Linked DNA regions of Mytilus edulis. The protein of the gene in region 1 binds, or shares a complex with, the protein of each later gene. Links are inferred from orthologs where the notes say so. Each region holds a gene or a part of one and is shown on either strand. Other genes may lie near its edges.

The links.
Region 2: folliculin-interacting protein 1-like (region 1) and folliculin-like share a complex: the UniProt entries of both Homo sapiens proteins name them as parts of the lysosomal folliculin complex. The link is inferred for Mytilus edulis from reciprocal best matches to the Homo sapiens genes FNIP1 and FLCN.

The regions. Positions count from the first base shown.
Region 1 is NC_092352.1:64,614,174-64,622,126, reverse strand, and holds the start of folliculin-interacting protein 1-like, read left to right. Parts: upstream 1-4,892; 5' UTR 4,893-4,956; coding exon 4,957-5,036; intron 5,037-5,117; exon of another isoform or gene 5,118-5,508; coding exon of another isoform or gene 5,509-5,555; intron 5,556-7,953. Other genes in the region: uncharacterized protein, read right to left, coding at 2,331-2,931, 3,153-3,343. UniProt on the Homo sapiens protein: Binding partner of the GTPase-activating protein FLCN: involved in the cellular response to amino acid availability by regulating the non-canonical mTORC1 signaling cascade controlling the MiT/TFE factors TFEB and TFE3.
Region 2 is NC_092352.1:53,339,404-53,347,272, reverse strand, and holds the start of folliculin-like, read left to right. Parts: upstream 1-4,656; 5' UTR 4,657-4,768; intron 4,769-6,401; exon of another isoform or gene 6,402-6,565; 5' UTR 6,566-6,600; coding exon 6,601-6,792; intron 6,793-7,381; coding exon 7,382-7,525; intron 7,526-7,869. Other genes in the region: serine-rich adhesin for platelets-like, read right to left, coding at 185-262. UniProt on the Homo sapiens protein: Multi-functional protein, involved in both the cellular response to amino acid availability and in the regulation of glycolysis.

The DNA.
Region 1 (7,953 bases):
GCAAAACATGAAACCCTGGCGGGTTAAAATGCAAACATATATATACACCAGTGACAAGAAACATAAATATATTTACAGAATTTATCATAGCTTGTATTTTCAGTCTAAAATGCTTAGGGCATTTGGTAGGAAGAGGGTGGCGGCTAAGAGAATTGTTTTGCGTCTGAAAACTGGTGGAGATGCGAGTGTTAAGGCCTAAAAAAAAAGATATGTGTTTCCGGTAACATCATTTTGAAAAATAGGGTCGGTAGGTCGGAATTTTTTTTTTTTTTTTTTTTTTTTTTTGACATCGTAAATGAAATCCGGAAAATTATCATGGTTTTTCCAAGTCCGGATCCGTAATTAGTTTCAAAAACCGGAAGTGTGCCATTTGCAATGTTTTTGAAGCACCTGTGCAAATTTCTTGATTTTAACCTATTTGAAATACCTTTTGACATTAATAAAATGTTTAACTGGCTTTCTATGCAAGTAGAAGCAAGAGAGAAAAAATATTATGTCATCTATCAGAAGCCTGTGTCAAAAACGGGGTCGGTTGATACAATTTTTTTTTTTTTTTTTGAAGATCCAATAAAAAAGTTAGGGTCGGGGCTAAAAAACAGGGTCGGTCGGGTTACCGGAAACATCGATCTTTTTTTTTCTCGGCCTAACAGATCTACAAAGTCTAGTAGAAACCACTTCACTCAGTTCAGAGGTTACCGGACCGGTCACCACAACCGCTGCTTCTAGTTCTACTCAACCCATTGCTCGATCAGGAAATTTTCCAGTTTTTCAAACCCCATCTGCGTGCAGTAAGGCCAGTGATGACTTTACAAGAAATTAATCTTTGCAATAAAAAATAATTGCAAGAATATGTTGACCTGGCCTTCCTATATATTTATTAATTCTCAAGCCTCTTCTGGGGATAAAAAAATCGTTATATCATATACTAGTATATGGAGAACTTTTAATACAACCAAGACAGCAACAACAAAAAATTGACACCATAGGTAAATGGGCAGAATCTTTTTTACATGCATAGTATACGGCTGGCGCCATAAGCGGTTCGCACTACGGTGGAAATCGTACAGTGAACAATTATGCCTGAGAATGTCGCAGGATCCAGCTGGTTCTTGGGCTGTTGTTGACTCTATGCTATGGCTGTTCTATATGTATATCCTTCGTCCGCTATTAGTAATGGGCCAATAAGCACGTGACGGGGCGCTTTAACTGTTAAGCATTCAATTACCAACTTGAAGGTACATGCATGAATCAATCATGTGCTTATACTCATTCTTGTTTAATATGTTTTGATCAGCACCCACTTATTCAGTGCCCCAAACAAAACGTTTTTCCTTGTAGGGCAGGCGTAAATGGAAGATTTCAGCAAGCTAGACCTCAATTTAGACCGAGATTTCATGCACGTGGTAGCAACTCGGTGCAGTATTCCATCAATTCAAACTCATATATACTGGTCAATTTATGAAGTGATTCTTTAAAAGAATGCAATTACAGTTGTGACAAAATTTTGTATTTTATCTTAAACTGGTGTGTCTCTTATGGGCTAAAGTGCGACTCTTATAAACACAACTGAATTAAAAAAGTATCTTCGGGGGATTATAAAAAATTAGCTTCTGCTTGATGGGCTTTTTCTTTGGCTTTAGGTTCCTATAAGAATAAGAATAATTATTATTCCAATCAAGGGCCCTTGATGGGCAGCATAACATGTACACATAAAACAATACAACATGATTTGTAACCAGTGGCGGATCCAGAAATTTTCATAAGTGGGGGCCCGTTGACTTGCCTAAGAGGGGGCCCGCTCCGGTCATGCTTCAGTGATTCCCAATATAAGCAACCAAATTTTTCCCAGAAAAGGGGGAGGCCGGGCCCTGCTCCCCCCCCCTTAATCCACCTCTGGTAACAGAAAAAACATTTTTATATACTAAAATGAAACATTAAAAAGTTCAGACAGATGTTATTATCTTCCTTCTATAAAAATCACATACATTTAATTCAAGGCAGGATCAGAACCATAAAATTATTACAATTATCATTGTTATTACATACATTATAAGTTATATGGTTTGCTACTGACCCCCTACGGATCCATAGAGGGTTAGTAAAATCCATAGGGGGTGAGGCCGTAGGCCCTATGGATTTTACTAACCCTCTATGGATCCGTAGGGGGTCAGTAGCGAACCGTATAACGAATTTATCGCACTGAGAGCGTTTTATGTCAAGTTTAGTATAAAATATCAAAATAATAACAATAACAATAGGAATTTATTAACACATTTACTAACAAGTATTTAAAGTATTTTCTTGTATGAATATAGAATTTGGAATGAAAGTCATTTGTTCAATGTTAGATTTTGAATGATTGTCACTTTACATTTGTGAAATAATTGTGGACCGGCAGCTTGTCTTGTGTTGCTAACATTTAAGGATGATTCATTATAATCAAAGTCCCCTAATATAGCGTTCAAATCAAATCCTTCGAAATGCAAAGTTTGTGGAGTGTCTGCTTCAATAAGAGCAGGCACCATAGATCCATTTTCAGTAAGTGCTAGTCTTGCAGGAGGTGCTGGTAGTGCTGATCTAATAAGAGGTGCAGGTAAAGCCTCTATCCGGGCTGGCACAGCTCCCATAGTTACTCCCAGAGTTTGTCCCATTTCTAACTTTTCTTGCGTGTCTACCCGTTGATAAACGGATAGAGATTGTACTGATTTATGACCGGTAACAGACATTATCTGAGCATCATTAAATTTATGTTTTGACAAAATTGAAGCTCCTGTTGCTCTGATTGAATGATTTGTATATTTCTGGCTAAGTTTACATGACAAACTCAAGTCACTCATCAATGTTTTTAGCTTTTTCTCTCCAACAGGTGCGTTGTAATACCATATTTCGTTGTCATCATCAACAAAACAATCCCTTGGACGCTGCCACAATCTGAAATTTTTAAAATGAAGAATTAACATTAAAAAACCTGGTTTTTCTTTACCTTTAGAACAATTATGATACATACCATCATTAATACACTTTGGGTGGATTTTTTTCAGCTGTTTTTTTTATTTACCAATGTTGTTTTATGTTTTTGGGGTTTTGGTCCTCATGATTGTGTTTAAAATTGTTTGAAGATTGTAGCTTTTATTACTGCTAGATTTACTTACCTATCACAATCAGGGTGCAGTTTGTCTGTATACTTTATAAAGGAATCCACTGGACAATACATTGAGCCTGGAATAAAAAATTCTATATGATGTAGGTATAGTAATAAAAAATACATTTTAAAGTATACAAATATTGAGAAAATGTTGATATTTTTTTTTTGTGCTGCAGTTATTGACAAGTAAAAATACATATCATTCCATGCTTTTTAAGATATTTATAGATTGATTGTCTGTGAATAATCAGGTTACATTTTCCGGAGCACCTGAGATCACCCCTAGTTTTTGGTGGGGTTCGTGTTGTTTATTCTTTAGTTTTCTATGTTGTGTCGTGTGTACTATTGTTTTTCTGTTTGTCTTTTTCATTTTTAGCCATGGAGTTGTCAGTTTGTTTTAGATTTATGAGTTTGACTGTCCCTTTGGTATCTTTCGTCCCTCTTTTACATTTTTATTTTGTGTTTGTTTCGGGATTAGAACTCGTCAACTTTAAATTACCAATAATTCTGAGGTTGTTTTTCATAAAAAAAAATTGGGGTGAAAAGATTGGAGATAATTAATGATACATGTATTACTAACCTAGTCTGATAATTATCAAATATATAAAACTAATGTACCTGTAGATTCTGGCATGACTCCACTCGTTGTCTCCTTATCATTTTCATTTTTTTTTTAATTATGTATTTTACATTATCAAAATTCGAGTTTCAAACTATCTACCGGCACACTACATACAGTGTGTCCAATCTGCAGCAGCGATTGCAGCTTTTACCATAGCGGTGACGGTACACAAATAAGTGTTTCGAATACAAATCAAAATAAAAAAAATTTAAACAAATTTAAATGTCCTTACAAAACTGGTTGAAGATGGGTTCTTTTATTAATAAAAGAGAAAAAAAGATGAAAAAGGTAACTCATGAGTATAAGCACCCCCTATAAGTATGCTGGTTTATTACTTTCCTTGGTTTATTTTTGAATCGATAACGCTATAGTTACCAATGTTTACACTAACAAAAATTAACTCACTGAAACAAATGCTAATCGATAAAATAATTCATTGACCAAAAATATAATTATTTATAATTAATTTAAACAAAATCATGAAGCGCCTTTTCTATGGAAGTCTTTAATGTATAAGACAATTCATGATTTTTATTTATCTTTAATAAAAGTATGAAATACATTTTTGGTATTGTTTGAAAATATTTTTTTCAAGTTTCTTTTTCTGATTATGATCAGCATTGTCTGGTTGTATGCTAGCGTGTTCCATTGATTCTAGTGCGGTAGGTCGTGGGTTCGAACCCCGGTAGGTCAAACCAATGACTTAAAAATTGGTAGAATAATGTGTCCAGGTAGGTTGACATGTCTTCCAGCGCAATGTTTACCGATAACTTGTGATCACTTGTGACATTAGAACATCGAAAATCCGGTTAAGTAACAAGAGTTCCCTAGAGCCCACTATATAGTATTTATATAAAAGAAATAATTTTACAAATAACAAGCATATGTTATTATAGATTTAGAAAGTTTAAGGAATAAAGAGTAGACAACTCATGAAAGTATCTGTAATAACACAAGCAAGTTATTTTCTGGAATAACCCTATAGAGTTATATCTCTGACTGTATATATGTCTCACTCTCTGCTGGAATCCAGTCTAGTGAATTTTTTACCAAGAAAGCGGTAATGTTTGTCACATGGTATTGATTAACAGGGGGTATTCCGATTTTAGCCAATCAAAGCAGGTTTTACTTTGACCTCATCGGCCTAAATAGAGTGGGTCATGTGAGGCAATTTCAATGGAAAATCAATATGGCACAACAATTTCTGAAGAAGTTGTTCCCGAATTCTCGGAGTAGTGGTGATAAATGGCGAACAGATTCAAAGTCCGAGTAAGTACCAGTGTTATGTGTTTAAAAAAATATGGTTCTAATAATTACGTTGTAAAAAAATCATCAAAAACCCGAGAAACATTGGTTTGTGAATTTGCATTTTGGTCATGGAATCTCCTAGTCCTCCAGTGAACATCAATTTACTTCTGTCTTATAACTGGGTCTGGTTTTTTATTCGTCTTAAAAGAAAATAACAATAACCGACGCGCATGTTTGTCTGATAAAAGCTGGACAATCGATTCAATTCTTATATATATAAACTTTTAGATATCTACATGTACGACGTGTTCATACAAATGTAAACAAACTTGTGACAAGCACATGACCATCCAGGTCATACACATCCGATATCATCAATTGTAGTTACTTACTTTTTACGTTTATAATCTGTGAATAATTTATTCATGGTCCAGCCGTAGTGATATGAAAGAATAAAACCAGTTAATGATGCAGATTCAAACAGAGAACCAGAATGTTTTCCTTAGCCTTTTTGAGTTCCAGTGTGAAAGCATATGACAGGTTTGACACCCTTTTCAGAGTGATCGTGTTTCAAACACTTTTCCTTAAGTTTGTTTCCGAATCATGAAGTTACATGTTACATACATTTGTCCATGTATATGTATAATTAATAATTATTCAATTATAAAAGTCGTTCAAATCTTGGTACTAGTGAACATGGTGTACATGTACATTTACCTGATTTATAGTACAAATGTACTTGTAATTGTTACGGAATTTCTTTGCAATACTGCCTGACTTGTATCGAGTTAAAGGAAATTTGAAAATCTGAACCTTCAGAACTAACAACTTGATGTTTTTAAAAAGCCTAATGCCCCAGTCACTGACACACTATACCACAATCACATCACGCTTATCGCGATCTAAATTAAATTCTGCAACGATCCCGCCATGATTATACCACATGTACTTTCTCACCACCTTTATTCTGCAACCTCATTATGATTATAATGATCTAACTATGCTCATGTTCTCAATACCACCATACCACGATTTATTTGATTGCAACATAATCTTATCACACTTCTACTGCGATTATACAATGTAGCTTGATCATACCACAATCATTCCACGATCTTAATATGCTCTCAGCCGTGTTTCATATTTAAAAAAAGTTCCATTCCTTCTATTTCTCATTATTTATTAGTAGAATTTTTCTCGGAAACAACAAAGTCATGTTGAGAAGTTGATCAAACATCTCTGGTGGCATTATAATAAATTATAGAAGGAAGGTTCATCTTAGAATCGTAACTCCTTCATCAACTGATGCCCACACTGGAGTCTCCTTTTGGTTGATAGCCAAGGACGAACTCAAAAGGACCTAAGTTGTCTAAATTTCTTCTTATCTGTCCTTTTTGATCTCTCAATAACAATTTAGCCTGCTTGCAGTGGCGGATCCAGAACTTTTCCTAAGGGGGGGCCCGCTGACTAACCTAAGGGGGGCATGCTCCAGTCATGCTTCAATGATTCCCTATATAATCAACCTCATTTTTCCCACAAAAGGGGGGGCCCGGGCCCCCAGGCCACCCCCCCTGGATCCGCCTATGGCTTGTTAAGATTTTGTATCTGTGTTAATGATTGTAGAAGCATTACTCCATGAACATGGTCTTGTGTTTCCATGGTTCAATTGAAATTGATGTTTCAAACAAAACCTGAAGAGCTTTTATATATGTTATGTGACAATGAGCATGACTATATATATAGCTAGAACTCAAAATACTAAATAGCTGTAGTATGAACATAGTCAGGTCGTAAGAAGAGTGTGATAAGGAAGGCATGAGCGGACTAGAATCATACTATGGCTTGAACAGCATGGTTGAGTCGCAATGATAACATGATGGTCTTAGTGAGGTAGTTGTAACATCGACATGAGATCAAAGCGCAGTCTCTCCGACTAGTATCACGTTTTCGCTACGTTGGTAACTTGGTACAGCAACCTTTGCGATCTTACCACGACCAAACAGCGCTGTCACTACACTTCTACTGTGACCTGATTTCCCCACTACAGCACCACTATTGTTTAAAACATGTTCATACTTGGCCATGGTCATCAGGATCATGAAGAACTCACCACAACCTAAATGCAATCTACATTATTTTCAGAGATCAAAATGCAATTGTGGCCTAGTGTGACTGAGGTTTGAGGCTGTCTATTCTGTTATGAATTTTGTAAACACTAGAATAATGAATATTCTCTGTATATCTGGAATTCTTTTACTGTTAACATATACACAATTACTGTCTTTTGATGAGTCAAATAAGTGGTTTTATTATATACGACCGCAAAAATAAAAAAAAATGGTCTTATATTGGTATCATGTCTGCGTCGTTGTCAGAGTCTCTTGAAGACTGATGATTTCCGGTTAATAACTTTAGTATAAGTAAATAGAAATCAATAAAATTTTAACACAAGGTTTATAACCACTAAAGGAAGGTTTGGATTGATCTTGGGGGTTTCGGTCCAAACAGTTTAAGAATTATGGGCCAAAAGGGTCCAAAATTAAACTTTGTTTGATTTCAACAAAAATTGAATTATTAGGGTTCTTTGATATGCCAAATTAAATGGTGTATATAGATTCTTAATTTTTGGTCCTGTTTTCAAATTGGTCTACATTAAGGTCCAAAGGGTCCAATATTAAACTTAGTTTGATTTTAACTAAAATTGAATTCTTGTGGTTCTTTGAAATGCTGAATCTGAACATGTACTTAGATTTTTGATTATGGGCCAAGTTTTCAAGTTGGTCCAAATTGGAGTCCAAAATTAAATTTTGTCAGATTTCAACAAAAATTGAATATGTGGGGTTTCTTTAAGTTTAACATGCTAAATCTAACCATGTACATGCATTTAGATTTTTGATATTTGGCCCTCTTTATCAAATTGGTCCACATTGAGGTCTAA
Region 2 (7,869 bases), about 11 Mb from region 1:
GACTTCTTAATATAAAAAAGAAGATGTGGTATGATTGCTAATGAGTTCTTTAATTCTTTTTATCAGGTTTATGCTACAAAACTAATTTTTATTGACATCCAATCTTCGATATTTATTTACATATATTACCTAAAATGTCAAATTTTCAGAAAATATTCTTAAAAATATTCAATAACAATGTTACCTTTTCTGCAAGAACTAATTCTACGGACAATCTTGGATCCATCATAAAAAGTTTAGCTCCGAAAAAATCTATTCCCATTACTATATTGTGCCATTAACTAGTATGAAAATAATATCTTTTTTGACACCAATATCATAAAATCTTCTTTTATTTGTATAATCTTTTGTCCATTAAAATTACGGTATTCCCCTTATTATTTTGATATTTGTTGACAACTTGTCAATTGATTAAATCAATGCACTTGGTCTAATAAGTTGAAAATAACAGGCATATTTCTTTTTTATATAGGGCCACTATTTTCTCTGTTGCTACTCAGCTGTGAAATTTACGCCTTGAAACTGACAACAATAGAAAAATTACCAAAACAAAAAATGATTAATATAAACGTAAAAAAGCTTCTTATAAAATTAGAGACCAATAATATATCAAAAGGCTTGGTTAGATATTAATCTTTAGTTATGAAAATCTGATACAATTATTTGTTAATCATATTATCAGGTTTAAAATAAAACAAAGTTAATCTGTTTTTGTAAACTGATTCGATTTACATATATAATATTTATTCCAATATCAATATGATTTTAACCTTTTAGAACAAATGAAGTCTTTAATAGGTGACCATAGGCCAAACATTTTTAAGTTACATATATAATTATGTATACATGTACAAATGTATACTGCAACAGCCTCCACATTTATCATACAACACATGATATCATTTTGTCTAAATCAGCTGAGTGGGAATGGGCTTAATTCATTATTTCAAGCTAAAGTTGAATTCAACTACAATATTAAAATTTAAGGAGTTGTGGTATTATTGCCAATGAGACAACTATCAATCCTAGTTCCATTGGCAGATCAGGGGGGGGGGAGGTTCCAGGGGTTGGAAGTTGAAACTCCCCTTTTTTTTGGTCGATCAATGCATTTGAATGGGAGCATATTCAATGTAGTTGGAACTCCCCCTTTACTCTGGGATGGGAACCCCCCTTTTAAAATGACCGGATCCGCCCCTGAGTTCAAATGATGTGGATATACAGTATTTTTAAGCAAATATTTTCTTTATTAAACGACTCAACATACATGTATTAATTAAGTTTGTGAGCACTCAACCCTACCCCAACCTGGATATGTATTACTGTGTTAATACATACATTAATTTTTTTTCACATGTTATTGTTTAAATGTCTTTTTGATCGACTTAAGCAATTTCAATTGATAATTAATAGTGTGTCTTGTTTGTAGTAATGTTAAACTACTGTCTGAGGTTAGGGTGAAGGTTGGCACCTAATTAGAAAAGGCATATTTTGGGGTGTATCTTTATAGGACCACAGAGGTTGAACGCAGAACAGTTGGGGCAAGTATGGACACGTACAACATTCAATTAAGCTTGATGCAGCTCTCTGAATTTGGATTGTGATTAAATAGTTGACACAGAATAAATGTTGTCTAATGAACTTTTTTTGCTTTTGAGCAATACACTAATGAATATTAATCCCCTCAAAAAAAAAATAATTGAAGAAATTTTTTTTTTATTTTCTGAAATCTTATATGAGAAAAATTGTACCCCCCCCCCCCATTTTTTTTTTACCTCCCCCTTTCCCTTTATTCCAAAAATAATCTCAATTCAAATTTGTAATGGAGTTTGCAACAATGACTACTCATTTAAAAACGTCATAAAATATCAAAAAATAAAATGACATACAGTCTTGTAAAATTAATATTAATTAATAGTAACTTCTACAAATAAATTTACAGCTTATCATCTCAAGACAATCATTATTTTTCATACATAATTTTTAGGCAGTATAAGGGAGGTAATCATACATATATATAACAGTATTCTTTAAATGGAATTGGATTACCTCCCTTACACTGGTTTTAAATTGTCCAAAATATCCTTTAACCAGAAAACCCCTTTTTTGCCCCTAATTTATACTAAAATGATTTGTGGCATAACCCCAAATAAGCATTCCATTGTTGTATGGAACTTGTGGTACTATAATTTCAGAGAGATTTATTCACTTAAACACAAGTTATTGACTGGAAACTACAAAAATGCTTATTTGGGTCCTGTAATTCCTAAACCTTAGGGACCATGACCCCAAAAATCAATCCCAACCTTCCTTTTGTGGTTTTTAACATTGTTTTAAAATTATATTGATTTCTATTTACTTATTCTTAAGTATTATCCATAAACCATCTGCCTTTGGACTATGCTGACAATGTGATACCAATATTCGATCAAAAATGTTTTAATTTTTGCGGTCGTAAAAAAATGACTGATTTGTAATAGTGGTCACTTACTTTACTTGTTGATTATACTTATTATTTGCGGAAATTGGTTTATGCAACATGTAGTATTACTTATAGTTCTACTTTAGTAATTCTTTCTCCTGAGACCGGCCATGTAATTATTCTTGGCGGGACTAGTTGGGACCACTTGCTTCTTGCACATGCTTGACTTCCAGCAAGGCCAAGTTCGTTGTCCCTAGGAACTATAAGAATGAAGTCACTCACTTGGTTCAGGGCAGTCTATTGTGCGTTTGTTTTATCTACATTGGCTAGAAGCATAGGGGGAGGGTTGAGAACTCAAAAAACATGTTTAACCCTGCCGCAATTTTGCGCCTGTCCCAAGTCAGGAGCCTCTGGCCTCTTTTAGTCTTGTATGATTTTTTGTTTTGGTGGCCTTCAGCTGTTGTCTGCTCTATGGTTGGGTTGTGGTCGCTTTGACACATTCCCCATTTTTACACTTAAGATTTGAAATGAGCAGACCCTCATATCGATTTGGCTTGCAAATATCATTATAGAACTTTATTTATACAAGTAGACTAACTGCCACCGAATTTCAGTATTATATTGTAATTATATTCTACCATACATGTCTTTTAAAATAACACATCATGTTTATTTTTACGTGTTTTACATAGTTTTTCCAATATCCCAAAACTTGGGTAGACAACGGGAAAACGAATGGGTTGTAATCAATGTAATGGGAGTATCTTCATGTTGAATAAGATGCAGTCTGAGAAATCATCCTACCCAAGGCTTTGATCATGTATATTTCTTCTTTATTATATAAAAATTGCATCAAATTTGATTTGGTATCTAGTCATTTTTGCTAGTCACTTCATGTAGCCTACATGTATATTATCTTACTTAAGCAAAATTTTCTGAAATGATTTTAAAATTCAATTAGAAAAATGGGTCATCTGTATTTTTAACGGCAATGCGGTTTTCCAGAAAGTCTGCCCAGGTGCAGTAAAATTAATCCGGGTCCGTTCGCGCCCATTCACGTTTGCACCCACTCATGTTCGCCCCCTTTCAGATCAAAGGGATCAAGCTGTTAAAAACAATTATCTTTTGTGTTTTTCATTTAAAATCTTCAATCTTTTACTCATACCAAGCTATAAATACATTCAGTATTATTTACACGAAAGCAATTAAAAACAACAATCATGATTTTCCAATTATTCAACTGGAATTTGAATTAAAATTGGGCGTGAACGTGTAGAGTGCGAATGGACCTTGGGTGCGAACGTGCGAGGTGCGAACGTGTAGTGTGCGAAAGTATATTGGGCGCGAACGGACCTGATACCCAGTAAAATACCCAAAAAAAGTAATAAACAGCTGCAATACCCCCCTCGTCTTGTGTGTGAAGTGTTATGGGAACATCATTGTGAAGTTTTATGTGAACATCATTGTGTATTATATCTCCAAATCTAATGAAGGTTGTAGTCTAGATAATCATGCTGTCCGCTGTGGGCATTTTTCAATTTCAATTTTTTAATTATCCCTGGAAGGCGTCAAAGCAAAAATTTGAAATAGCTTTCCTAGACATCATAATTATTCAACTACTGGTCGAAGGTTGATACCTGTTCAACTAAGAAGTTAAAATATTTATCAAAAAGCATATGTTATTAAAAGTCAATTCAATCATACATGTATCAACAGGCCAGATTATAATTCAATTTTCAATTATCTCAAACAAAGAAGCAAAATTGATGATCAGCTGGTCTCGTTTAATTTTGGAATCTTGCCAACTTGATGACAAATCAGAAAAGTTGTCAACAAGTGTCCGTGGAAAGTAACAGACAGTGGCTTAAGTGTTGAAACGGACCACTTACCTATGTATAGCATAATACAATGTTGGCCTGCATTGCAAAATGGCTTTTGTTATCTATTTATGATAAAGCAGCCGGCGTTGTCAGTTTATTTTCAAGTTTCAACATGCCAGCGCGTCACTCACCTGTTGATGATTCAGGAAATCCAACAATTCAATTCAGTTTAAATTACTCCTATTCCCTTTTTCTGCAAGGAAATTTTTTAAAGACTCTTTCTTTTAACCAGATTCATCACAGGTAGCATGAAATGGATGTGTATTCGTTTTGACAGGTAGCACCCGCCATTTTTCAACAAATGTGTTGTCTATCAATCCAAAACTGAGATGCTAGGCCGTTCTTGATTGGACAATTGTTTAAATGAACGCCAATGAACATTCTTTTGTCAAAATTATTTACTCATTGTCACATGATTCCAATATGGTGAACAAAGTGAAAGTAGAAGTTAAATGAAAACAAGATATTGGTATGTTTACATTGGCAATATGTTTTGTTTATTAGAGCTTAATATGCATTTGCATTAAAAAGGGCTTTCCCACTATAATGTAAGATGTATTCCTAGGTGGCTATTGACTATCAGTACATATTTTGTACTCATTTGGTATGAACTTTCTTTCATTCAGTGATTTGGTTAAGGTTCATGTGGACCCTATGGCTAAAATGGCCGTATTTTCACCTCAAAATTTACTCTGAGTACAGGCAAACCTGTGCATCTGGAAAAGTTTTAAGGCATAGCATGCCCTAGATAAATAGAATTCAAATGCAATGTATGATTTAGAAAATTCATAACTTAACTGGATTTTGCCGTACACTTTTTTTCGTCCCTGCAGAAGATGATAAAATTAACAAACAGTTGAGTTTACCTTGATATGGTCCACTCAGGTACACAGTTTAAATATCCAATTATTGTCAAGTATCTATTGTCCATCTCATGTCCATGTCAAGCAATACAGCTCACTTCAATTATTACCTGTGGGGAAGTTCTCAAACCTGTTTCCCAACTTAGTTTATTTTGGCACCTTCTGGAGGAATGAAAAAAAGTGCACGGCAAAATCCTGGTAAGTTTTTATTTTTCTTAAACATAAAAAATATTTGAAATTTATTTATCTAGGGCATGCCATGCCTGAAATATTTTACAGATGCGCAGATTTGTCTGTACTCAGGGTAAATTTTGAGGTGAAAATATGGCCATTTTAGCCTTAGGGTCCACATGAACCTTAATTAATTTTTAGTTTTTATTTAGATACAAAATTTCATAATTATTTGTTACTGGAATATGAGTCAGGCATTACCTGTAAAAGGGGACGAAGTCTGTATGATTTTTGTTTTTTGTTTTTTTGAAACATTTTTTTACTTCAAAATGGTTAAAAATGACACTGAAATGCTGTAACATTTTGGATTTTGGTTCTGTTGTTAGGGGTTTTAGTTGTCATGTTATGTATGTCATGACGTCATATTCAATGTAAACAAAGAAACGCTATCATCAGGTAATGATTTTTCATATCAAAGAATTATTAAAAATGATATTGGTATTGTATTCCTTCTTATGTTTTACTAGACTGATAAATATATATATTTTGCTCAAAGTCTCCTGACAAAGAGACCGAAAAAAGGACGGAGATTTCTGCGCAAATGCAGGAATTTAAAAAAAGTCTGAAAACAAAAAAGTTAACGATTTTGAATTCATTTAATAGTAGAATGAAATATTAACAGATTTGACTAGTTTAGGGAAATTTCAATTGAATACTTCTTAAAAAAATCATTGAAATACATGTATGTCCCAAATAAATTAAATAAATCATTTCTGAATGTATAGAGCAATGGAAGAATAAAATTATTTGTTTTCTGTGATGAATTATGTCAGATGGAGACTTGAGGAAACCTTGCTAATTTTAGACTGTATGAATAGTCTGTTACAGAAATCACTATATATATAAAGTTCAATGTTTGTCACAGATTGTTTTTTTTTTTTTTTTTTCATATTTAAAATTGATGAAGAGAAGATAAAATTGTAACCATGTCATGCATGTGATCTAAAGTATTGCTCATGGACACAACAACTTTGCTGTCTTTTTTCATTTATTTTTTTTTCCATTAAGATTTGGGTTCTCAAGAGTCAAGACCAAAGAAAGTGAAATAAGTTGCAGTTTACATGATTGTTATTGTCAATAAAGTAGTATTTGAAAAAGCATAAATGTATCCTTTAAGTTTTAAACATTTAAATTGACTTATTTTAAAAGTAAATACTTATGCTCTTTTGTAGATCTACTTCAGAACTGAAAGATTTGTTAAACTATTATGAATGCTATAATAGCACTTTGTCACTTCTGTGAGGGACATGGTCCACAAGTTATGTTTTGTACACAGCCTACACATCCAAAGGAGCAGACAGAATTATCACATGAGGAGGCTGCAGCGTTATTATCCAATCGAGTGAGATCACCATCTGGGGATTCACCGGTATCGTCTAAGTCTGAACATACATGTGAGGTAAATATTTTTAATTTTCACAAAAGTTGAAAAGTTGTAAATTAATTAACAGATACTTTTGAAGTTGTTGTTTTATATATATGAAAAACAGGGAAATTCTGTTGCAAGTTTGAAGATGTATTAATTTGTAGAAAAACATTTCTTAAAACAACAGATTCATGAAAACATTTAAAAAGTGATAATAAGTTTTAAGTCTCTTGTTGTGAGTTGTCTCATTGGCAATAATATCACATCTTTTTTTATATTTAAAATCAAAAACAGTTAAATAATCAAATACCAAGTAAAAGACATGTGCACATCTTTGTTTGAATTAAATTATCCCTTTAAAATGAGAATAATAAGGAGATGTACATGGTGTGGTTGTTAATGAGACAGCTTCCAAACATAATCAAAGGATAAGGATGTTTTAACAACTATATATATATACCGGTAGGTCACCATATGGCCATCAACAATGAACAAAACTTGTACCATAGAGTAATAATTTTTGCATTAAACATTTTTGAGAGTTTTTGTCATACTTAGTCTCTTCTAAAACATTAGATTCCTTTCTATTATTCATTCTTTTGAAATTCTCTTATGTTTCTAGGGTTGTTACTCAGTAAAAACTGGATTTGTTAGCCATGATAATGATGCTCCAATCAGTTATATTAGCAGTAAATACCCTAACCCAACACAGCCTGAAATTTACAGCCTTGTGAGAAATGCATGCTTGAGGAGTCTTAGTGGTGAGGTGAGAGTTGTTTTTTCTAATTGATACAAATATTATCCATTTAAGGGAACTCTACCATAACTAAAATTAAGGAGGCATTTGCTCAGCAGTTTTTAAATGAATTGTGATTTGGGTAACCAGGTCCAGAGAGTGATTTATTTTCTCATATTAAATTTCATGAATTCTAGAGGAAAATCTGTTTGAAAGGTTTTATTTTTGTTTTTTGTTGTCCTTAATACTGAAATTTCCCTAACATGTAATTAATGAGAAAGGATATTTTCACAATTTTATCTTTAACTTGAAGTTAAAGGAAAAAAGTGTATGGGTCATATATATATAGCTTCAATTATTGAGTTCAATGTTTC